Linked DNA regions of Struthio camelus. The protein of the gene in region 1 interacts with the protein of each later gene in a pairwise test. Links are inferred from orthologs where the notes say so. Each region holds a gene or a part of one and is shown on either strand. Other genes may lie near its edges.

Region 1 (11,240 bases):
AACAGGTGTCTACTGCATATCAGCACATCAAGCGCTGTTCTTTGCAAGTTTAAGTGTTGAACACAAACAAGGTTAGTGCTTCTTTTTTGGTTTTGGAAAGATTTGAACTCCCAGTGGTTCAAGTTACAAAGGCTGCTTTCCTTTAAACCTCTGCGCTTGCAAGTGACTCTGGCATCAAACGCAATAAAAAAGACTCACTGTAAATGCAAGAAACACTTAAAGTGAGTTAGCAGCAGCGTTGATTACATGCTAACACACAACATAGACACCTGCTGGAATTAAAACAGACATTCTTTGCAGTAAGTGGTAAATATGCTGTATTTCTACAACATACAGAGAGTTATTTGCATTATTGGTGTCATTTCCAAAAATTCTCATTGTTAATAGTAAGGTGAACAGCTGAATTCTGCCATCTATATCTGTTACATTCACATTGAAGGACAACAATCCAGAAATCCTGGATTTCGCCCGCAAACATTTAAGAGCATTAGATGAGGCTTATACGTTTCCATACAGAAATAAAAGTAGCTATAACACTAAAACCTGTTTTGAGGATATTCTGCCACGTTTAAGTTCACCACAATGGCTGGGTTACATCTACTCATTTTTGTCAAAAAAAAAATGAAAAAAGGATATCAAACCTCATTTGAACTGGAGCACTCCTCTGAAGAGTGACTATGGAAAGCAATATTGCAGAATTTCCTATGTCGGCGATAGCGAATCTAAAGCAAGCATAGTCACACCTGAAAAGCGATTGTTGTGTCTATAAAATACATTCAAGACATCTCCTCCTTCACATACTATTAGCAACCTAGTCCGCATTTTGAGCTTGAATTTTTTTGTCACATAAGTTGAAATAGAAATTAACTTGTCCCTCAGCCCTGTAACACTTGTCCAGGAAGATCCTGGAAGATCTACTGAGCAAAGCAGCATCGCTTTTATATTGCCCAGGTTTCTGAAAACGCGGCTAAGTGCAAGATTACATTCTGGTTTTAAGTGCAAGATTACATTTTAGGGCCTCTAAAGTGTAAGTAGATATAGTCAGATTTACACTTCGGTTTAGAAGCTAGCTGCAACCCCCTTTCAGTTGTAAAACAGAACAACAGGGATTTAGATCCCTTCTTCCCTCATAAATGCCTGTATTAGCAAGGTGTCCAAGGTAACTGGAGAAAAGTGCCCACTGAGGGGGGGAAAGCACAAGAGAAAGTGAACCAAGTTCTTTGAAAAAGGTAAACGTTTCCTCATAGAATCATAAACAACAGATCAAATCACAGCACTTTGGGGTACTTCTAATACCTCTTCAAGATGCTAAAACACTTTAGTCCAGATGACTAAAAAAACCTCATGTAATGCCCCCTGTACTGTACCTGAAAAGTCTCTAGCAGACAGCAGTTTCTTGCTATTAACAAAGAGGTAAAATGATAATGAGAACTTTTATGTAATTAAATTATTACAGAATTAAAAGCCATCTCTGGAGAGACGCATACTTGCTTAGAGTTTGCACTGTGGAACCAGACCCCACTGTACCTGCAACTCTTTGAAAAAGGCAGTAAAAACAAAAAACCACAATATTAACTAAAGTTATTCTTAAAGCACCTCCTTGTTTCTTGCATACGAGAGTAAGCACAAGACATTCATGGTTTGTAACAAAGTCCTCAGCTATTCACCAAACATTGTCACTGCTACAAACCCAAAGTGCATACATGGGATACAATAGAACTCAGAGGAATAGGAGAAATACACCTGTTAAAAAGCATCCTTTCAGTGCATGCATTTTGGTGGACTGGCTGAAATTATCAAAGACCCAATAAAGGAATTAATGTTCTGCAGTGTACCCAAGAGCAGGTGCTAGCCACCTGAAAGAAATCAACCTTGAGCCATGCAACTCAAAGGGAAACCATTCAGGCTCCTGATGAAAGGGATCAGTCAGGCCAAAGGGCTGCTGGCCTGAGGCCTTCACAGAATTTCAATGACTCAAAAATGAGTTGACACCAGTCCACTGTTAAGTGTGTGGTTTTCCATTTAAACTACCGAGTGCTTTAAATCTGGTCTTTTAGGTTTGTAACTCTAGAGGACAAGCTATTGAATTTGCTTTAAAAATATATGAAATGAAAAAAGGACACGAATCAAAATTAAAAAGGCGGGAGTTTGTTGGTTCCCCACCCCCCCCCCCAGCTCTTGCTCTTTTCTTTTGTAAATCAAAGCAGGCCTAGCTTCCCTGCTATCCCCACTGAGAAGGGATTCTCACAATATCCTATTCACACTAATGGCTAACCAACCTTTCTGGCTTCTAACTTTATAGAAAAATGTAGTAACAGAAAAACGGGCAGGGAAAGTTACCTACAAACAAAGATCTAATTTAAAATAATGACAGGGCTGGCTAAGGCTGTATCCCATAGCACCTGGCACACGCTGGAGGGGCTGTGTGGAGGAGTAGGCAGGGTTGGGTACAGAACACAAGGGCCTTAGGATGCCCCACGGACAATGATCATGACCAGATAGTCGTCCTCTGATTTGGCCAGCGCCTTGGCCGTGGAGTCCAGGAATTGCTGGGAGAAGTCGCAGGGTGGAAAGGCGTGCAGGACCCCGCTGTTCTCCTTGTCTTTGTTGCCCCCCACAGGGAGGCTGATCACCCCAGCAGCCTGCTTTTGCTTTAGATAGGACACCAGATTCCTGAGCGGCCTCTGGGTGGAGGTGGTGGCAGCCTCGCTAGCTCCAGATGAGGAGCGGTTGTCTGATGTGCCAGGCACAGCCAAAAGGATGGCATACCCATTGGGACCTGCCACCTTGATGCGACGAGTGACCTCGTCTAGCTTGGGCTGGTCCAGACGAAGACGTTGTGTGATCTTGAGCTGACCTACTTTACCCCCAGTTGCTCCCTCCACGAGGAGACTGCTGGCAACGCTGAGGTCCCCCTGAAGCAGGTGCATATTGGACGGGAAGTTGCTGTTCTTCAGCAGAAGCATCCCCTGCCAAGCCAAGCACAACTTGGGGGCTCCCCCGGCCTGCGACGTTCCATCCTGCTGCTGCTTCTGAGGCGGAGGTTTGAGCCGCGACCCTCCACCGCCTCCTTCCGTAGCGCGTTCATCCTTTTTGGCTGGACTTTTGCACTCCTGCGCAGCAGCTGCTGCAGAAGCGCGATGCTTCCGCTCTCTTTCAGCGGAATTCTTGCGGTCGCGTTTTTCATTCTGGCCTCGCTCTAGGCTTCCCCTGCGCGATTCCCGGATAGGCGAGGGCCGCTCCAACAGGAGCAAACGGGAGGAAGAGCGTTCTGGGTCACTACTATAGCGCTCCCGCCCTCCGACAAGCTCAGGGCTGCGGTCTGGGGGAGAGGTTGTGGCTAAACAGTGACGCTTTCGGGACGAAGAAGAGCGCTCACTGTCCGGAGAACGGTCCAAGTGCCGGCCTCCATCCTCCGCCAGTCTCCGTTTCCTAGGCTGATCCCTACTGCTAGTGCCCAACTCCCTCTCCCCCCGGTCCCGCTCCAAGGACCAACCATCCCGACGGCGATCTAGGCTTTCCAGTGGGTCATAGGCAGCTGCCCGATTACTCCTATCCCGCACAGGGGGTGGCGGAGGCACCCACTCTGTCTCAGAATAAAGGTCTCTGTCGCGGTCTCTATAAAGCAACGGTGGTGTCCTGTCCCGAGCCCCCCGAAGAGGATCTGGCGGGGCCCCCCGGTGAGCCCCAAATGCAGCAGCCTCTGCCACTAGCTCATAATGAGCAGGAGGTGGCAACGGCAGAGGCTGCAGGTAGGGCTGCTGGTACCGATGCTCAGTGTCAGCAAAGTCTACGCGGAGTCGGCGATCCGGCCCACCCAAGGGAAAGCCACGCATATGGGTGCACGCTGCCTGTGCCGCGTCCAAGCTCTCATACTGGATATAGGCCCACGAATCCCCTTTGCGGTAATCAATAGTGCGAATGGTGCCAAAACGGTCAAATTCCCTGGCCAGGGCAGCAAGGGGCACCCAGGGCCCAAGGCCGCCCACCCAGAGCCTGGTAGTTGGAGTGGCTTTACCATACCCAATCTTGATGGGGTTGCGTAGAAGCACCTTTCCTGACATGGCCAACTTGGCCCGGTGCGCCATGTCCAGATTTTCAAATTTAAGAAAACCGTATGTGCTGGTCTGCCCACGGCCTGGCCTTTTGATGTCCACCTCAGTGATGACCCCAAAACGGTCAAAGGCTCGGCGTAAATCAGACTCGCTCACGGTGATGTCCAGGTTGCCCAGAAACAACGTGCGGTTGGCTCTCTGGTCGTCCTCGGGGCTGATCTCCTCCTCACCGGCTGCTCCGGCACCCCCTCCTCCTCCGCGGAAGCCCCCGGCAGCCGCCACACCGGCCACGCGCTCCAGCCCATAGGCCGGCCGCACTCGCGCTTCGTAGAAACCTCCGTAGTCCCTCTCCCTCTCCAATTCCCTGGGCAGAGGGGGCGGAGGCGGCAAGCGGCCCAGGGCGAGCTGCTGCAGCCGGTAGTCTCGATAACCCAGGGCTCCTCCGCTACTGGCGGGCGACAAGGCCCGCTGCGTTGCCCCAGCCGGGGGGTGCCGCACAGCGGCGGCTGCCGCGGCCGCCACTCCCACGGCCGTCGTGCCGTAGGGGGACTCCTTGTCCAGCAGCGCCGGGGAGCGGCTGCTGCGCCGCCGGCTGCTCCCTCCGCCACCCCCGACGTAGACAGCCTCGATTTTGAGCGGGCGGTCGTAGAGGACGAGGCGGCCGCGGGCGTGTTTGGCGGCGCGGGCATCCTCGGGCCGGCGGAAGTTGACGAAGGCCACGCGCTCGTCGGGGGCCCCGGTGCCCGGCGGGAGGCGGCTGATTTTGACGCTCACGTCGCCGAAGCGCTTGAACTCGTGGAAGAGCCCGTCCTCCACCGCCTCGTCGCTCAGCGCCGAGCCCAGCTCGCTGATCTTCAGCGTCTTGTACTCCCCGCCGGCACCCGGCTCGGAGGAGGAGGAGGAGGAGGACGGGGCCGCCGCCGGCACCCGGGACTCACCCCCGCCGCCGCGGCTGCTGCTGCTCCGCGATGGCTCCGCCGCTTTGCTGCTGCTGCTGTAGCCGTGCCGGCTGCCCCCGCCGCCGCCCGCCGCCGCCGCCCCGGCCTCGTACTCGCGGCTGCCGGCGCGGCCGGCCTTGTCCGGGTGCGGGCCGCGCCGGCTGCTCCCGCTGTTGCTCTCGGTGGAGGCCGCCGCCGCCGCCGCTTTCCCGCCGCTGCCGTTGGAGCCGCCGGAGCCGCTCGGCTTCTTGCCGCTCCGCTCGCCCCGCGCCGACGAGGAGGAGGACGCCGAGTCCTCGCCGCCGCCGCCGCCCCGCGACCGCTTGGCTTTAGCCGGCGAGCGCTCCTTGCCCTTCATGGCGGCCGGCCCCGCGGCGCCCCCCGCCCGGCCCTGCTCCCCGCCGCCGGCCTCACTGACTGACTGACCCGCCGCGCTCACGCACCCGCCGCCATCTTGGAAGCCGCCGCGGCTACGAGCCCCGCCCCCCCGGCGCCCATTGGCCGCTTAACGCGGGCCCGCCGCCCTCGTTGGCCGGCGCGCGCGTCACCCCCACCCCCCGCCCCCTCCGCGCGCGGCGGGCGCTCGCGCTGCCAGGGCTGGCTGGCGGAAGACCCGCCCGTTCCCCCCTCTGTGCCCATTCCGATTGGCCGAGCGAGCTGTCTTTCTCCGGGCCGGCCTCGCGCGCTGCGGGAGGAGGGCGCGGAAGGAGCCGCCCCGCTCGCACTTCTTCCCGCCCCGTTTGCTTAGTGGACGGTTAGAACGAGAACGGCCTTCTCATTGGTCGGGCTGCCATGTCAATCATAACCGTTCCACGGTAGGGGACCGCCCCCGCTCTTTGGCCATTGGGCTAGCTCAACTCGTCTTTCCGATTGGCTCGCCGGCCTGCCACTTGCAACGGTCCTGGCTGTGGCCCCTCCTCGCCGCTTCCCATTGGTTCGCTGGCTGAGACGCGGGCTCCCATCGTCCCTCTCAAATTCTCGCGAGCTGTATTAACCCCGCCCTCTGTCCTCATTGGCCACTGGTAACCTTTCCTTTGCTGCTCTGATAGGCTGAAGCCTATGCCTCTCCCGAAGAAGCGCGGGCTGCTACCCAAGCTTCACCCTTCGTTTATGATTGGGCGAGAAAATCTCCCCAGGCATCTGATTGGGTGCAGCCGCGTAGCTTGCGGATAGGGTAAGGAAGCGGTCAGTCACGCTTGCTCTGACTCTGATTGGTTGCAGCGAGGGAGGGGGTGGTTCCCCAGGAGCGTTCGCCGTGCGGCTGCTGGGGCGAGCTCAGAGCGCGCCGGGCCGGGGCGCGCGGTGGGGGGAGGGGCGCTGGTCTCTTCTGCTTTCCTCAGGCCGGGCGGTGCGTCAACGGCTGGGGCGCGGGGGCCAAAAGGAAAGCACAAAAAGAAAGAAAAGCCGGACCAGCCAGTATTCCCACATTTACAATTTTTCTGTCACAGAAGACGTTATTTATATTAAGGGAATTCCAGTCACCGTCCAACCGAAGCGGCTCTAACCCCGCTGACCGGGCTCCCGCTCGCTGCGTGACACCGCGTGGGCCTGGACACCTCCCGCTCCCGCCCGAGCCTCCCCTTGGCCTCTGCGTCGGAAATAAAGACTCAGATTCCCCGGGGGGAGAAAGGCGTAGGGCGGCGGGCCCTGCCGCCCCCAAGGGAAGAGCTACCCCTGCCTCCCGCTGGCCCTGCGGCCGCCCGCCCCCCAACCCGAAGTTCGCACCCCCTCCGCAGCCCCGCGGCGTTTCGATTCCTTTCTTTTGGCTGCCCTCAAAATGCTCGGTTTGGAAATTCGGAAACGTCCGAGAAAAACGCAAACCTGCAAGCGCGCTCGGAAGAACTTGGTTTAACCCGGCACTGCTACGGCCCCCCCGAGCCACGTTTACTGTCTGAAAAGTCCCCGCATCTCCGTGTCACCCGTGGAAACAAGAGAGCTCCCCAGGAGCAGCTTAATCCAACAGAAGGGGAATTGAATCTGATTTTTTAATAGCAGGCCATTAGACTGCATTTCTCCCTGTCATATCATCGCTTTCTGACAGAGATGGTACACAGCAGTTCCTGAAACCGTGGGTGGGTTTTAAATGGTGGGTAAATAGCTGCTCTCTAAATATAGACCGAGGAATGAGAAAAATTGTGTTTGAAATATATGTCGGGCTCCTGAAAATGAGATTCTCCCATGCAACGACAGGGAGTTAACCTAACATGCGTATCCGAGACGGGCCTGCTTGGCTCATGTGGATATAATTATCCTGAAAGTATATGGAAGACAGATACAATTATGTGGCTGCGGATCACCCAGATAACAGCGATCCGAAGGAATGCCAAAGAGGCCTAGAGTCACAGGCGCAGAGCGGTACCGGGTGTCTTAGAAACACAGCATCATCCACGACTCTGCCAAACGGGCTTATTGCAACCACTGCTCGTGTCTGATTCAAGCTGCTTTCCTGGGAAGACACAACCGAGTGAAAGTGCTCTGGCGGGGTTTCTTTTTCCCTCCCCTTAGAAAAAAATAAAATGCTATTCCATCTGGGTGTTAACATTTTGCAGCAACGTCTCAGTTCCAATGCCAGGGCTGTCGGAGAGGTTGCTGGAGCTCAGGGTGGGATCAGTTTAGAAGGGCGACCTGGCCGCAACCTGCTTCGGGGAGCAGAAGCTCCCAGTTAAAACAACCAAAAAAAAAAAATCCCACCACGTCGGTGTGCATCAGATGCATCCACAGCCAGTGCAAATACCCCTCGCAGCCAGCTCTCCCTCTGGGTTTCCTGTGGTTTCCGTCGGAGAATCACAGAGGCACCAAGGAGCCTCGCTCCTTGGCCAGCCTTTTTTGGAGGCGAGATGAAAACGGGAGGAAACCTACCTTACCTTATTTCAGCTTCATCTTTGAGGTTACATCTGGTAAAAACTGGAACCGTTCCACTGGCTTGAGAGGAAAAGCGTCACGTTAAACAGTTAATGATAAAGACTTGTAACTCCCCAGACTCTGCCAAGGTCCTAACCACTTCCTTGTGGTGCCTCAGTTTGTGTGTGAAACACAGAAATTAAAATTCCTCGGCTGATGACTCATAGTTTAAAAGACACCTTGGGTGAGCAATAGGACACATCACCAAAGGGACATCTGTCTGTCATTTAATCTGATTTCAGCCCTTCTTCCAATCTGCTCCTTCAAAGGGGGGAATCTTCTCCTGGATTCTTCCGCCGCTGCGTCAGCCGCGGTCAGAGATAGATCTCTGCAACAGGCAACTGGTCACTGACAGTTCGGCAGGACTGAGGCATTTCAGAGCGGGTTTTGGCACTGGAGAAAGGAAACGCAGCACCTGAAAAGAGCCCTGGAAAAGAGCACGTTTTGTCAGGCCATGAGAAAGAATACAGCGTGAGCAGGAATCTCCCCCCAGGCCCAGACTAGATAAAGAGTACTGTCTGTGTTTATATATGTGTATAAATAATTAAGGTGCCAGATGGCCCTTGAGCCCATGGCCTAGATATAAGCATCTAATTACATTTGGTGTCAATGGGAGTTGGGCATGCAAGTACCTTTGAGGACTTGGCCTGATCCTGGGTAATACTTGCATGTTGCAGAACCAAAGAAACTTGCCGTTTTCTGCAAAAGCCTTTCTCTAGCAGTTTAACTATATGTCTCCTTTTCAAAGTCTGGATTGAGAAGATCTTAGAGGAACAGGTCAACTTGACCTAGGAGGAGAGGCAAAGAGGGCTCCTTGCCTCGATCCCAAACCAGCTCCGAGTGCCACTGATTGACACTGGCAAAAGACTTGTGAGCGCCTCAACCGGGGAGGTGTTTGTTTGGCCTCCGCAGTTTGGTATTCAAGCAGGCTAACTTTCTTCCTGGAGGAGCACTTGCGTCCCAGCTGGCCATTAGAGACATCAAAATACATTAGCTTCACTTAGGCGAGGCCACAAGAGCGCTCCAGGGACGCGAGCTGCCGGCTCAGAAGTGAGCTGTCTTGCACTCTGACCTGAACGCTGCGCAGGGGAGGCGAAAGCTTCCCCTGGTTAGTCACTGCAATTCTCGCAGCGATCTCTGCAATGGCCCGGATCTAGCACTCGCAAGCAGAAAAAGCTGGAGAACATCCACCCTGCGGGATCCTGGTGAGGTTTGGCAGCGATCCGCAAGGCAGCTCCCAGCACCTCGAGGAAAGCAGGGAGGGAGCCGGTTTCTTTCTGCAGCTGAGCAAGAGGTGGCTGGGACGTGCCGGCACTCTCACCGGGAGGCAGTGTCAGAGGACTGGGTTGAATTCAAGAGTCCTCAGCCAGTCTGGTCTCCTGGATCAGCTCTTCTCCTATTACACTCACATGGTGACAGTCCCTCTAGACATGCAGTGTCAACCACCAGGAATTTCTCTGGGTTTTATCCCTCGCTTGTCCTGGAGGGGTCAGGCACGAACTGGTCCCGCTGCCTGTTTGTTCTTCTGGGTACCAGGAGCACATCCCTGTGCAGATCAGGGATCAGCGTCCTTGCGCTTCACACCGAGGTCAATCAGGAGTGACTCTGCTTGAGTTAACCGGTAGCTAAAGCCAGGCTCCCTTCCTCCCTGCTCACGCTCAGTTCAGCACCATCCCAAAGGCTCTAGGGATGACTTTTGCAGCAGTTCCCCAGGCAAGGCGGTCCCTTCACCCCTTCCCTCCCACATACCTTTTTTGCGAGCATCCTTGTCAGCATCCCACTCTGCCAGCACCACCTGGGTCCCCCAGCAGAGGATCTCAGACCGTCGGAGGTGGCTGCCTCCCTTCCCCTCCCTCCACCCCCGGACTCCCCAGTCTCCTGCTCCCAGGACCTCATCGCAGCCCCAATCTCAGGCTGCAGCCTGTCCCGGGGCTAACCCCTCTCCTACCCCAGCAGGGTCAGGCAGGCAGCCCCCAGGCCCAAGCCCCGTTGCCGGCAGAGGGCAGCGGCAGCCCACTAATTGCTGGGGCCTGATCCGGCCCCTCCACCTGCAGCCCTGGCCAGAGCCTGCTCTGATGAGCTTGGGCCTTCTGCCCTGGCGCAGCCCCTCCTGCCACCCTCGGAGCCCTTTTCTTCGCCATTTCATCTCTTTTTCTCAGCTGAGCGAGGAGTGCTCGAGTTTAATAAGTAATGAAGGAGTTTATGGAGCCATTAGCACAGTAATTGTTCACTTTCCACCTAATATTCAGAGATTAATGGAAAGGGAAGAATAAACCCCCAAAGTACAGAGAGGATCAAGGCAGCCTCGGGGATTGGGGATCCAGGATCACATTGCAGGGTCACGTCCCTCACTAAAGATCAGTGTCCAGAGGAAGGTTGGTGCTTGGGCATTAACCCATAACGAGAAAGACTTGAGCTGCCGGGCTCCCTCCATGCTCTCAGCCTCCTGCCCTTTCCCCAGCTGTCCTCCCCCGGCATGCTCCAAGGATGGCCACGTTCAGGGCAGTGATCTCCATATGAGATGGAGGCTCAGATGACTTTGGGTACCCGTCTCTGCAACACCGAGGCCTCAAAGCCCTCGGTGCATTTCTTCTCGGCTCACCGCAGCAAGGGAGGGCCCTGCTGCTCCTGGAGCAGGGATGCAGCCCAAGGAAGCTCATGGTACCTAGGGAGGTTGAGTATATCCATGGGCTGCAGCTCCATTGGCTAATGTCCCATCTCCGGTCCATCTGCCCTCTGCAAGCTGGTGCGTCTGGCTTACAGTTGCTATCTGTGTTAGGAGGAGCTTAATTTCACCACATCATCCTCCTCCACTCAGAGACCCTTTGACCAAAAAGCATGCCAGGGGCAGCAATCTGGTCCATCATCACTCTGTGCCTCCGTTCTTCCCTCTGGAAAACAGGGAGAAAAATGAGGCCGTCCAACCTCAGAAGGAGCAGCATTGCCCAGAAGAACTTAACCCTTTTGCACTTGCGCTGCGATGAGATGAGGCCCATAACGATCCAGGCAGGCCGGCGCCTTTAAACGGCTGGTGCCTCCGCTCAAGTCATTGCCATGTCACTGCACAGAGACACACTGCCATAGCCGCGACATGATGAGCGAGCACTGCAGCATCCTTGCACGAGCTGTGTCTTGCCAGCAAACAGGTGGCAGCTCCGGATGAGGGGACCCCAAGCCGATCCGAACAACTGAGGCCTGGCTCCTAACGCCGCGGACAAGCAGCTGGGGCTCTTGGGTGCCTGTCGGGTCCTTGAATGGAGGCCAGGAGACAGGTGGAAAATGGCGTGGGGGGAGAGCCCCCCTATCCCCGCTCTGAGCTATAGCATCACAGCCATGCGTGACATTT
Region 2 (11,705 bases), on another chromosome or scaffold:
AACTGAGGAGAGTTAAGTAGATAGCATGAAGAGTTATAAGAGTTATATTTCTAAATATATACAGAAAAAAAGAGAGGAAAGGTTGAAAGTGGGTTCGTCTAGGATAGAGAAAGAGAAAAGCGAGGGAGAACATGATAACCACTCAGTGATCATTTGCCTTCTGAGTCTGACACGGGAGGGACAAGTAGTAAATCAGTTTGATTTGCAGCAAGGGAGGTTTAAGTTTGCTATTTGCAAACACACAAAACCCCCAAAATACTAAGGGCAGCTAAACATTCAAACAAGTTGGTTAAGGTAGTAATTGAATCCCTATTTACACTTTCTTTAATACTAGGTTAAACAGATGCTTATCATTAGTGACTCAGAGTAACTTAGGAGGAGGACAGGTTCAATAACCTCCTAAGGTCCCTGTTCTTCCCTGTGGGGCTACTACAGCTACTTAGATACAAGCAGTAATTATTTTTTAGGTTCTCCAGAGAAGGAAAATGAAGCAGCTACAGAATATAATGTAACATCAAAGAACACGTTAACTGAATCCATGATGTCCTTTAGCGGCTTCCACAATAACGTGGCAACAGACTGTATTCCTGAAACAGTACCTTCTCTCTTGCATCCTGCCCACACTTTCACCCTGCCCAAAGACTTCTGCTCAGCCATGAGTTAGTTCTGTCTTAAATAATTAATGCAAAGTTAATAGTCAAATACAAATGACTTTTTAAAATAACTAATAAATACCATTTTGTACATGAGAGATCACTATCTTGCTATCTATTCGATGGAAGTTTCTCTGGTAACAAAGTTAAATATTTCCAAAACAATGCTCTGTAAACATGGGCATAATTTACTGGCGGTGTTTTCAAATTGGATGAATTAAGTACCAGTGCAACAGTAGGATACTGTTGTGCAAAACACAGGGAATTTAGTATAGAAAAATGAATGAAACGGGTAAATCGATGACAATAAAATAGGAATAACACTGCTATGATTCATCAGCCTAAGATTTCAGACTAGCACTCGCAATGGGCTTAATGCTAAAATCCTCAGACCTTTCTTTGGAAAGTGGCTCTGAAAGGCACTGAAGAATGCCTTTTATAAATTGTAGAGCATTTAAAATAACATATCGCCCTTATATGGCATTAAGGCACAACACTTCCAGTTGTCATAAACTCCAATTTACTCCTGTAAAATCATATCCAAAGAAAACAAATTGAGAAGCTGTCACTGATACCACATTTCCCAAGTGTGATGCCTTGATTTTCAGTATTTTTTCAAGTTACTACTCAAATTAATATCAGTTGCAGCGGCCAGGATCTCCGAAAAATCAGGCTCAAAATACGTACAATCTGAGAGACATGGCTTCTTCTCTAGAATGAATCAGTAAACTAAGTGCAGAGAAAAAGGAATATAAAAATTCAGAATGAGAGTATATATACCATGATGGGGGAGGAAAATTCATAGGCACACAAAGGTAAATGAATACTTCCTATCTTTTGCATGTCCCACGTTATCTCTTTCCTTGCACACAAGTGTCCTAAACATTAGGTCAAATTACTTGTTCCCTGTCCTTATTCTGTACATGCAAATTAATTTTCAATTATACAGTGCAAAGAGAAACAACTTCAGCAGGATTGAGAGCAAGTCCCCCAAATAGTCCCAGAATAGCCTGTGTCCAGGTGATTTAAGAAAGTTTCTGGAGATATGAGAGAAGTTTGAATTCTCTTATGTTGAAATAGAAACTGAATTCAGATTTCCCACCCTCTGGGCGCTCTAACTACCAACCAGTTCTATAAAAGTAATGCTGCTCTTCTGGTTGTATTGAAAGTAGTCTGGTATCACCTCATTTTTTTGATAAAAATAGCTTAGGCCTCTAACTCTGGAAGAGAATTTGGGGCTGCAAACTCCAGGTTCATCCCTGGCAATGAATACAGCACGAGATACATTGATTTTGCTCATTTTTATTTGTTCTCTTAGGCTTTTGCTCTGAGTATCAGAACTTCGTTCTGCCTCTCGCTCCACCCATGCAGAAGGATATATGTCCTTCCTGTGGGCTGCAAATTCCACTTGGGGATCCAGATCTCCAGAAGAGAGGTGCCAAAACATTCAGTGTTAGTCTGATTTATGGATCTAAACTCTCTTGCAAGGGCACAGAGGATGCTAGGTGCCTGCATAGTAAAATGGTGGCAGTAATATTGATACTTCAGATAAAACATCCAGAGAAGCACATGATCACCATACGATGCGCATATGGTTCTTGAGATATTTAGTCCTAGGGATTCAACCTCAGGAGATTTATTATCAGCAAGCACCTCTATACCTGAACGTAGGCTGAAGGTTTCCTAGGGGAAAAACGTTCCTGTTGCTGACATACCATCTGGCAGGTGTCCATCCATCCCACTCCTCCTCCTCCTTAATGGAGGAAGAGAGAAAAAGGAAAGAACAGTGTCCCTGAGGCAACTGATCTGGAAAAAACCTCCCTTGAGATATAGACGAATGTCCCAAATTAGTACCTTGAATGGCAACACCATGCATGCTCACGTGGGCAGAGGGATCAAAGCTGCATCAATAAGAACCACGTGAAAGGACTGTTTATCCAAGACAATGGAGAGTAAAACAAATCTCACTGGTTCACACCTTAAAAGGTGCTGGTCATCTGCTAAGACTACTGCTTGAATAAGGTTACTGAGAATGACAAACTTAGGATTTCTCCCACTGCTTTTAGTAAGAAGTTGTTCAAAATCCAAAATTACCTAAAATTCCTTTAGTCAAAATTGCTTCTTGTTTAACTATAATAAATTAGCATGAAGACTCTTTTAACATCAGTATATACAAAATGTGCTTTGTTCCACATGTGTGTAAGTGTTAAAAAAAACCACTATTCCCCTTTCTGTTGTAAGCTGCTACCACTCTAGCAGGATCTCTCTGATTAAAATCTATTATAAGATGAGAGAGTATTTATGAATAACAATCACTTATGCAGGAATGTAAATTTCTATGCAGAAACCAAGGCGTGTCTGAGAGAAAGAGCACTATACAATGGGATTTTGCTGACATTTCATAATGATGAGGACAGACTCCAGCACAAGCGAAAAATAGTACTCGTTTCTCTCTTAAGAACATGTGATGCGATGCACAGGTCGGTCAGCCTGCTGCCATCACCCCGACACCAATGCTTGCCTGTCTCCTTTTTCTGCTTTCAATCCCTCAGGAACTGCTACAGTCATATCAGTCTGGCCTGAGACGTCACCCTGTCTACCAGCAAAGAAAGTGCAGCATATCCTAAAATTCAGGGCACAGGGCCAGATACACCCAATCAGCAGTCACGCTTTTCTTAAGAGAATGGGTTGTGAGGCCACAGATTTAAACATTTACATGGCAGGGATGACCCATTATTCTTTGAGGAAGGAAAAGAAAAAAAGATTAAGATCAGACATCACTTCCCTATCCCAGTATAGCAGTACCACCTTCTACCAGGCTCAGATGTCTGCAGAAGCAGCTTGTAATGTACATGGCTGTTTCCAAAATACATCACGCTACTATACAGCAACCTTTATATAACGTTAATCAATTCTGCTTGCTGCAGCAGACCATCTGCTTTGCTCACATCGTAGTATGCTAACACATACTATCTGCTTACACTGCTGTTGAGCACACTGGGGCATCAGCAGTACAAGGCAATCTGAGCCATGCTGAAAAGGTTACTATGCTGATAAAAATAAAACAAGCTGAAGAATGTACATTTCTTCTCTCAGTGCAGGAAGCAGCATATGTAAAAAACAAAACAAAACAAAAAACAAAACTATTACACATCGAAGTAAAATCTAAAAAATGCATATTCATAATGTGCTGCATCTGTGATGCCATGCACTTATAGCACAAAAACCAGATAATTCCACGTGCATATTAATTTCTACATAATCTAATCTAGCTGTACTGAGAATGATACTGTAATCTGATCTAACATAGAGCATACTGCCTCCCTCTCGCTCCCCACACAACCTCAAATATAAAATGCTCATACTCCAATACAGCACACTACCAAATACAAAATGAATTCACTACAACCAGTGATCTTTCCACACCACAGATAGAGAAACCAGCCATTACCATCAGCACCTACAGAAAGAGCACAAAGAGCACACCCCATAAACAGTCTCTCTCCCTTCTCCCTCAAATAAACCTCGCAAGTTCAAGCACAGCCAGTATACAAGGCAGCACAGAGAAAGAGCACACACAGCACCATCCTTCACAACCCTACTGTCAGCTCCACCACAGTAACAAAATTAAAATATCACCCCCTGGTAACACATGCCACTATGTGCAACATGAAGCATCCCACCACCCTAGACAGATGTTATTACATGCATACACACCTTGCTCTTACCTCTACTCGCACCACTGCTACCTACCTCAGAAAACACATACAATACATAAATTCCCCCATACACCTCCCCAAAATTTTGGTGTTTTCTAACCTGTGTGTCAAATCCATTTTCTACCGAGCTACTCTTCCTTGGTAGGAGTCCATCTCCTGCATTTTCTTGTCCATTAGGAGATTTGAGAGGAATCTGGCTGGAATACGAGGGCTTGGTCACCTCCACCTTGTTCCCAAACTTCAGGTAGCAGGGTTGTGGGATGGTCCTTGTCGTTGGGACATGCAGGATTGGAGCAGCACTGTGTACGGGTTTAGGTAGTCCCGATTTCATTTTGGAGGCTACCAGGATGGCTGGCATTTTCTCTTTCTGCTTTCCTAACACGTTTCTGTCAGCAGCAGCAATAGTAGAAACAGCAGGCAGGGAGAGAGAAAAGGACACGTCTGGGAAGCTGCTGTACTGAAACAGCCTGGTTTATGGCAGGGATCTTCAATATCAGCTTAGAATAAAAAAAAAAAAAAGAAAAGAAAAGGAAAAAAAAAGACAGTTGTAGCCTAAGATATCTCCCAGCTTTGTGTCAGCCTTCCACCTGTTTCCTCTAATTTTATTTTCAGTTCTTCACCACTGTCCTCCTTCCTTTACTCTCCTATTCCTGCTGCTATTTAACTTGCTCCTTCCTTTCACTGGCTGACTCCTGTAATTTTCTTCCCTGGAAATGGGAGACTTTTACTCCATTATCTTGTCACTGCATCTCCAAAGTGAGGCAGCCTTTTGGAATAAAAAAAAAGAACCTGCTGCTGCATATGCCTCCTGTTCTGTATGCACTAGAGAGCGAGCGAGTGAGCAAGCACCAGGATTTCCAGCTTAAGATGTCTTTCTTCAGTCTTAGCCAAGAAGCAGATGTAGCTCAGTGTGTTAATGACTGATGCCCTTGGATATGAGCCTTAGAGAATCAAGCTTCTTAAGTCTTAATATCTGTGAACAGGACAACAATGATGCTGCAGCAGAAGGAGAAACGTCCACTGACGACAGTTTAAATAAAAATACGCCAGTGGTGACAAAATTTCCTGGATCCCCCAGTGCTGATCATGAAAACCTGGAGAAAAAATTCAGCTGTCAAACAGAAGGGAAAGCAGCCACCACCTCATTTTAAACACCCGCACTGAAACAGGTTTCAGCACTGAACGGCTAGCACATTGTGCGTGTTAAAGGCAGCCTGCTGTGCCAACACCAAAGAAGGCTAGGGAGATTAGCCGGAGCAGGAGAAGGTTGCAATCTGACAGCACCGTAAAAACAGGGCGGCCCCCGGATTGGTCCTCCCGACTCAAATCAGAAACAAAATCTCTCCGCAAGAGAGGAGTGGCTTCAACTCCTCTGACTGGCAGGAAACTCCATGACGGTGCCAAAGTACAAAGCCCGGTCTGTGCAAGCTGTGCTGCAGTGCTCACGGCGGAGCTGCTCCAACGGGGAAGATGCTTTAGAGGCTGCACACAGGGAGTTTCTTACCAGTTTCGAAAAAAGCATTTTCAAATCAAAACACCTGGAGATGACTCATTGTTCAGCTTTTATTCAGGAAAACTCCCACTGCCAGTATCAACAGGAATTTGAATAAGCACTGAGCAATCTAACCCAATTATAACAGCACTTGGCACTTTGCATTTAGGAATCCTTCAGCGCAACCCAGCGATGCGAGTCACAGGTTCCTCCCCATGTTGCTCTGCTGATAGCATGATTCATTACAGCCCCCAGATCCCTCGTTCTAGCTAAATATTGCACATTTTTTAGCTCTACATATCCCTGTTTCTGCCCACAGTACACCGTCCTAGACAGGGAAGGATTATAAGCATGGAAATTCAAGGCACTGAGAGATAGTTTAGGACTCATCAGGAATTTTAGCACCATGATATACAGTGTCACAGTGCCTCATTTTCAGACAGCCTGTAACGACAGCCAAAGGCCCTGAGTTACCCTGTAGGCTTCTTGCATTGCATACACAGTCAGGTGCCTCAGAACAAGATTCACAAAGCCAACACAAGACATTGAAAAGAAAGGTTTCTTTTAAATCCTCATCACAACCCTGCATGTTGCATTACCTTTGACTAGTGGCACTTCCTTCACTTTTATGTTCGTACCTGCCCCTTTGCCTAAGATTGGACCGAATCAGTACAAAACCAGCAGGAGGGTAGCGATAGGAGGGATCCCAGCAAGCAGAGAGAAGCAGTGAACCTATCCTTGAAGTACATCCTGGACGAGTGTTAAGCCACTGAGCTACTTGGCAGGACAGAGGAAGCACAAGCCCACTACTGCACACAGCCAAGGCCATCAGCATTGCTCCCAGCAAACATACCAAATTAAACTTCTCAGATCATGTTGACTGAACCATGCTTAGCAACCCTTTTCATGGGGGAGCTGGGTCCTGGCTATCCGACACCCTCATGTGTTTTGGTAGTTTTTAATATGAAAAAATAGGGAGGTTTTTACACCTGAGACCTTTTCAGATAGAAAACTGAGGCATTTCTGGACTGTAGGTATCTCCAGGATTAGGCAGCAGGATTAGGATAGCATTTTAGGATTTAGGCAGCTAAATTGGAAATCACATGAGACCTGCATGCTGAATCTTTCTGTGGATGTCATCTTAAATGACTTATCCAGGGTTACACAGTGAGGCAGCAGCAGTACTGCAAATTAAAGTGAGAGTGCGTGCTCTGTTGATTGCAAAGCACTGTTCTTCCTCAACGTTTCAATGTAAAAGAAGTTCCCTCTCCACAAACAGAAACCTCCGTTTCAGAACACATTAGCTGTACTATGGGTTGGTTTTTTTTTTTGGGGGGGGGGGAGGGGGTGTTTATGAGTTTTTTTGGATGTCTCCCATTAACTAGATTATTCAAAACAAAAAATAAAGCCTGGACATACTATCCTCACTGCAGTCTGCCACGTCTCCTGCTTAGCACTGCCCACTGATTCCATAATTAAAGTTCCTCCACTTTATGTGAAGTCCACACGTTAACTAGGGGTTTTGTTGTCATTGCTGGAGGATTTTTTGGCACTCCTGCTTTCACATATACCAACTCTGCAGACTGCTTTGCATTAACTCTGAGAAGTTTTTTTTTTTTTTTTATGAGTAACTGTATTTTCACTCTAGTCTCTTTTATCCACTAATCTCAGATTACAAACTGCTCATCCTCCATCCATCCATCTCATTGAGATAGATACTCCAATGTTTATTCCATTGGCATAGCATGATGCACAGTCTGTTTATAAACTACTATGAAGAAAATTTCAAAGCCAAACAACCTGACAAAGTCACATTTACCATATAAAAGGACTGGTAGTTAGGGGAGCAGAAATGTGTAAAATGCTATGATACTATTTCTATTGTTCAGTGCTGAAAAACTTAGCCTTGATAGCTAAAAAAAGGTTGGACTGAAAGAAAACCTTGAAAAAGATCCAAGTCCGAAAACAAGGCTAATCTTAGATCTGTAATAAAATATAACAATATTTAAAAGCTATTAGAAGATCTAACTGACAGCTTTATTTTCTGTTCTTCACTTACATCTTTTATTAGGTTCAGGCCACCAATACCAGATACACAGAACTTGCCAGGTTTTGTTACTCTGTTTGTATCTTGGAAAACTGGCTAGGTGACAGGATACCAAAACAAATACAAAGTTAATTTGAGTAAGTGACAATTATTCCTTTCATTGTTACTTTAATAATTATTGAAGCTCATCCTTTTAAGATGGTCAATTGAATATCCTAGCTGGAGGAGACTGCTTTCTCTATTTCTTGGTATGTGGTCCTGTTTTCTAAAATGAGAGAGTTGTTTTCTGAATACCCGCAGACTATGCTCCTGCCAGCTGTTTTGCTGAATCAGCAATGTGGACCCAAGATTTACTGTGAATTCTTGATACACTGCTGAAGAGTGGCCTAGAATTACTGTGCCTTTCCCTTATGGGGTCAATAAAAAGTCATTATCTAGGGGCAAAATTTTATATTAATAATCCATTGCCACCTAGTACTTTTTTTTTTTCTTCATGTTATCCATGCTTTGTTCTATCTCTCCAAACACTACAGTATAATGCCACTAAAATGCAGTGGGAGTACAGCCATAACATGAGGTCATAAATTATTAATACGTCAAGATACAAGCTATATTTGCAAAGATGGACAACATGAATTTTGGTCCATCTTTAGAAATTATTAGTTATTATTTATAATTGGATTTATGAACTATACCTGTTTCTAAAGCTCAGATTTTCAAAAGAAATTACTTTTCTTTGACAGTCAATGACATCTGCGAACCTAACTTCCTTATCCTCTTCAAGAAGTCCAACGAGTTTTCTCCTTTTTGAATCAAATATCTATACCTCAGTTAGCTTTAAGATGAGAAAATAATATTAACTATCTAAACAGAAAGCAAGAGCATCATCATTCCTGCCACAAGTATCAGATGAGCCTCACTAGGGGAACATCCCCTTGCAGCTTTATGTTTGACTAGATCTTGGCTTGAATAATTATATCTTCCCTCTTTCCCCCTTACACACCTGTGGTCCAGCAAGCATCCACCTACTCCCTGGCTGAGGGGATGTGGAGGAGAAAAATGCTATAAAACAGGCATTTTACTTTGCAGGGTGCAGGGGAGTAGTGATATGGATATTTCTAAAATCAGGAGATGCCACTGCTCAGGATTCAGATTGTGCCTACTTAGTACCCCATAGCATCACCTGAAGTGCCAAGACTCTGGTCTTGAGAACTAGCTTAATATCCTTGAAGTTTTAGTGAGCAGACTCAAACGAGCTAGAGGCCTTAACACATTGTGGAAACTATTTGAGTACTTTGTAGTTCAAGAGCTTACAGGCAAGCCAGCACATTTTCCAAAACACGACCAGTAAACAGAATGAAAAACAACAAACTAGATGAAATATATACTGTTTCCAGAACTCAAACCATTGAAGCTGCTTTCATTGCTGAGACACTATCACATAACAATAGAACAGGATCTCCAAATCCAAGTAGAAAGAAAATGCCTACATGGATTGCACATGGATGTTTCAAGTAAAACAAAAAGCATTATGAAATGCATACGGAGGATCAGAGAATCAGACCTTTCTTTCAAACCTTATTTAATATCCATCCACAATGAAGCCAAATGTTACACTAGTGCAAGTGAAAAAATACATACAATTCTTATTGTAAATTAAAACCTTGCTAACCGGCCTGATAACTCAGAACTGCTGATGGAACTAAACTCATTCCATGCTTGAAGACACCTTTATTAATGCTTTCTTTGTCTTTCAGGCATGATAGATATATCTGAAAGCTCCAAGATAATAATTTCAAGTCCAGTTAAATGTTCCTAAAACGTCACTAGGTACTGCCAATATCAGAAGGTTTAATTGTTCCTACAAAAGCAGTCTTGTCAAGCTTCCCTCCTGCCAGAAGGCTAGCTGTCCTATATAGGCTGTGGGCATAGTCGGCCTTGGCACAACTCCATTAACCTAAGTGGAGCTACGACAGGGATAAATATGGACCTATTTTTGGTACTGCTGGCATTTTACACATTCAAATCCATCTTTTGTCGCTGATCACACTATCAAAGAAGTAAACGTCTGATCCTGTGTGCAAATTTTTGTAAAAGCCTAATCCTGCCTGCAGACCTATGTCACTGTTTTTCATGAAAGAACTTTATAAACATGTAAATGGGATCAAGTGCCTAATATTTTGTTGTCTTCCCAAATGAGGAACTCTAGCAGTTAGAAAACAGGAACATTGGTAGAGACATTATATAATTCAGCATCCTTTCGCCACAGCAATTACAATCTGCACATGTGAGGTCTTTATATAGAGCAATGAGAAAAGAAAAAAAACTGGGAACAGAACCAAGTTTTCCTCACAGAAATCTTGTCTGTATTACACTAACTCTGATCTAAAATGCCTTCTGTAATCCTCCAACATATTTCTAATTCACACTGGGTTGACTCCACCTCATTTTATAACTCTGTTTACGTTAACAAATAAACAAGGTAAGGTCCATCTGGGTAGGAAATACCTATTACGCTCATTTTCCGGAGGCAGACAGAATATGTGAGACGCACTAGTGATGCAGGCAGAAACTTCTGCATGGTGACACAAAATGACACTGTTTTAAGTGAGCATCTTCTGAACAATGTACTTATCTAATACTGCTGCTGTGCTAGAACATTTTGTGTAGTTGTGATGTGAACATGAACGGCAGAGGCTGGCATCACAACTGCACTGACATAATTTGCCCATCTGATTCCAGACTGGCATTTTTTACATTCATGTTGCATTTATCATTTGACTGCATGAACACCTAAGTCCGGTAGGACTTCCTTCAAAGGCTACATAAATTTATATTGCCTAGCAAATGCATTTTGATCAACATCTGTTTCTCCGATTTTGTAATGTTTCAGGTGCTTTTGGATCTATAGCCTTGGCATTTGCTCAGAATCTAATAAAAAGGAAGAATTAGAGGTCCGTGTGCTCTTAGCTGGCCGGAGACAGATTTATTAATGCAGATTCTGTGACAGGCCTTGAAAAGATACATGCCCCTCTTTCTGACTCAGTTTGCACGTAAATAAATTCCTCACGCTTAAACTCATCAGGAACAGGAGTGGAAGAGGAGAGGAATGCAAGAGCTTGTTCCATTAATACTTTCTGCAATGCTCTAAGATTTAAATACATGATATATATGTCTATACTGTAGTCACAGCAGTGGCCACTATGTAGCATGCATATGCCTGAATTAGCTTTACGTTCCTAACAGACTAGCTGTGTCCTGCCAACTCACAGGTCACCTTGATTTACTGATTTACTTTTGTGATTGTAAGAAAAGACAGAACCTTTTCATGCTACTGACAGCACCTGGAGTAAATATTTCAATACCATTTTAGAAGGATCCTTGAAAATCAAATCTCCGCAAGAGAGATGTGCATCTGGGTTTTCTTAATCCATTCACGTGCCCTTTGTTTCCTCAAGGTTGACAGTACTAGCTCCTGTATTATTTTATGCCTGGTGTGACACTGCCTTTGGCTTCTTGTATTAGGAAAGGCTAAGAAAACACCTGTGACTAGAATCACATCAATGAGCATATCACAGAAGGAAGGTGGCGGTGATTGAAATACCACAAACTACTCTTAACTTTAATAACCGTCAAGTTAAGGCGAAATATGAAGAGGAGCTAAGAAGTACTCTCTCCTCCCCGTGCAGCTTTTCTCCCTGCTTTCACTAGAAGCAGTAGGGAAAGAAATTCACTGCTTACAAGCTTAGTCTTGCATGACCAGGCAGTGTCCCTCTGTAACGCTGAAATATGCC

The links.
Region 2: the proteins of RBM15 (region 1) and NAV2 interact in binary tests that used the Homo sapiens proteins (3 or more experiments, as listed by UniProt). The two-hybrid records come from large-scale screens. The link is inferred for Struthio camelus from reciprocal best matches to the Homo sapiens genes RBM15 and NAV2.

Annotation. Positions count from the first base shown.
Region 1 is NC_090965.1:4,445,474-4,456,713, reverse strand, and holds the start of RBM15 (RNA-binding protein 15), read right to left. Parts: upstream 5,436-11,240; 5' UTR 5,352-5,435; coding exon 2,466-5,351; 3' UTR 1-2,465. UniProt on the Homo sapiens protein: RNA-binding protein that acts as a key regulator of N6-methyladenosine (m6A) methylation of RNAs, thereby regulating different processes, such as hematopoietic cell homeostasis, alternative splicing of mRNAs and X chromosome inactivation mediated by Xist RNA.
Region 2 is NC_090946.1:31,808,314-31,820,018, forward strand, and holds the start of NAV2 (neuron navigator 2), read right to left. Parts: upstream 4,834-11,705; 5' UTR 4,731-4,833; coding exon 4,473-4,730; intron 1-4,472. UniProt on the Homo sapiens protein: Possesses 3' to 5' helicase activity and exonuclease activity. Involved in neuronal development, specifically in the development of different sensory organs.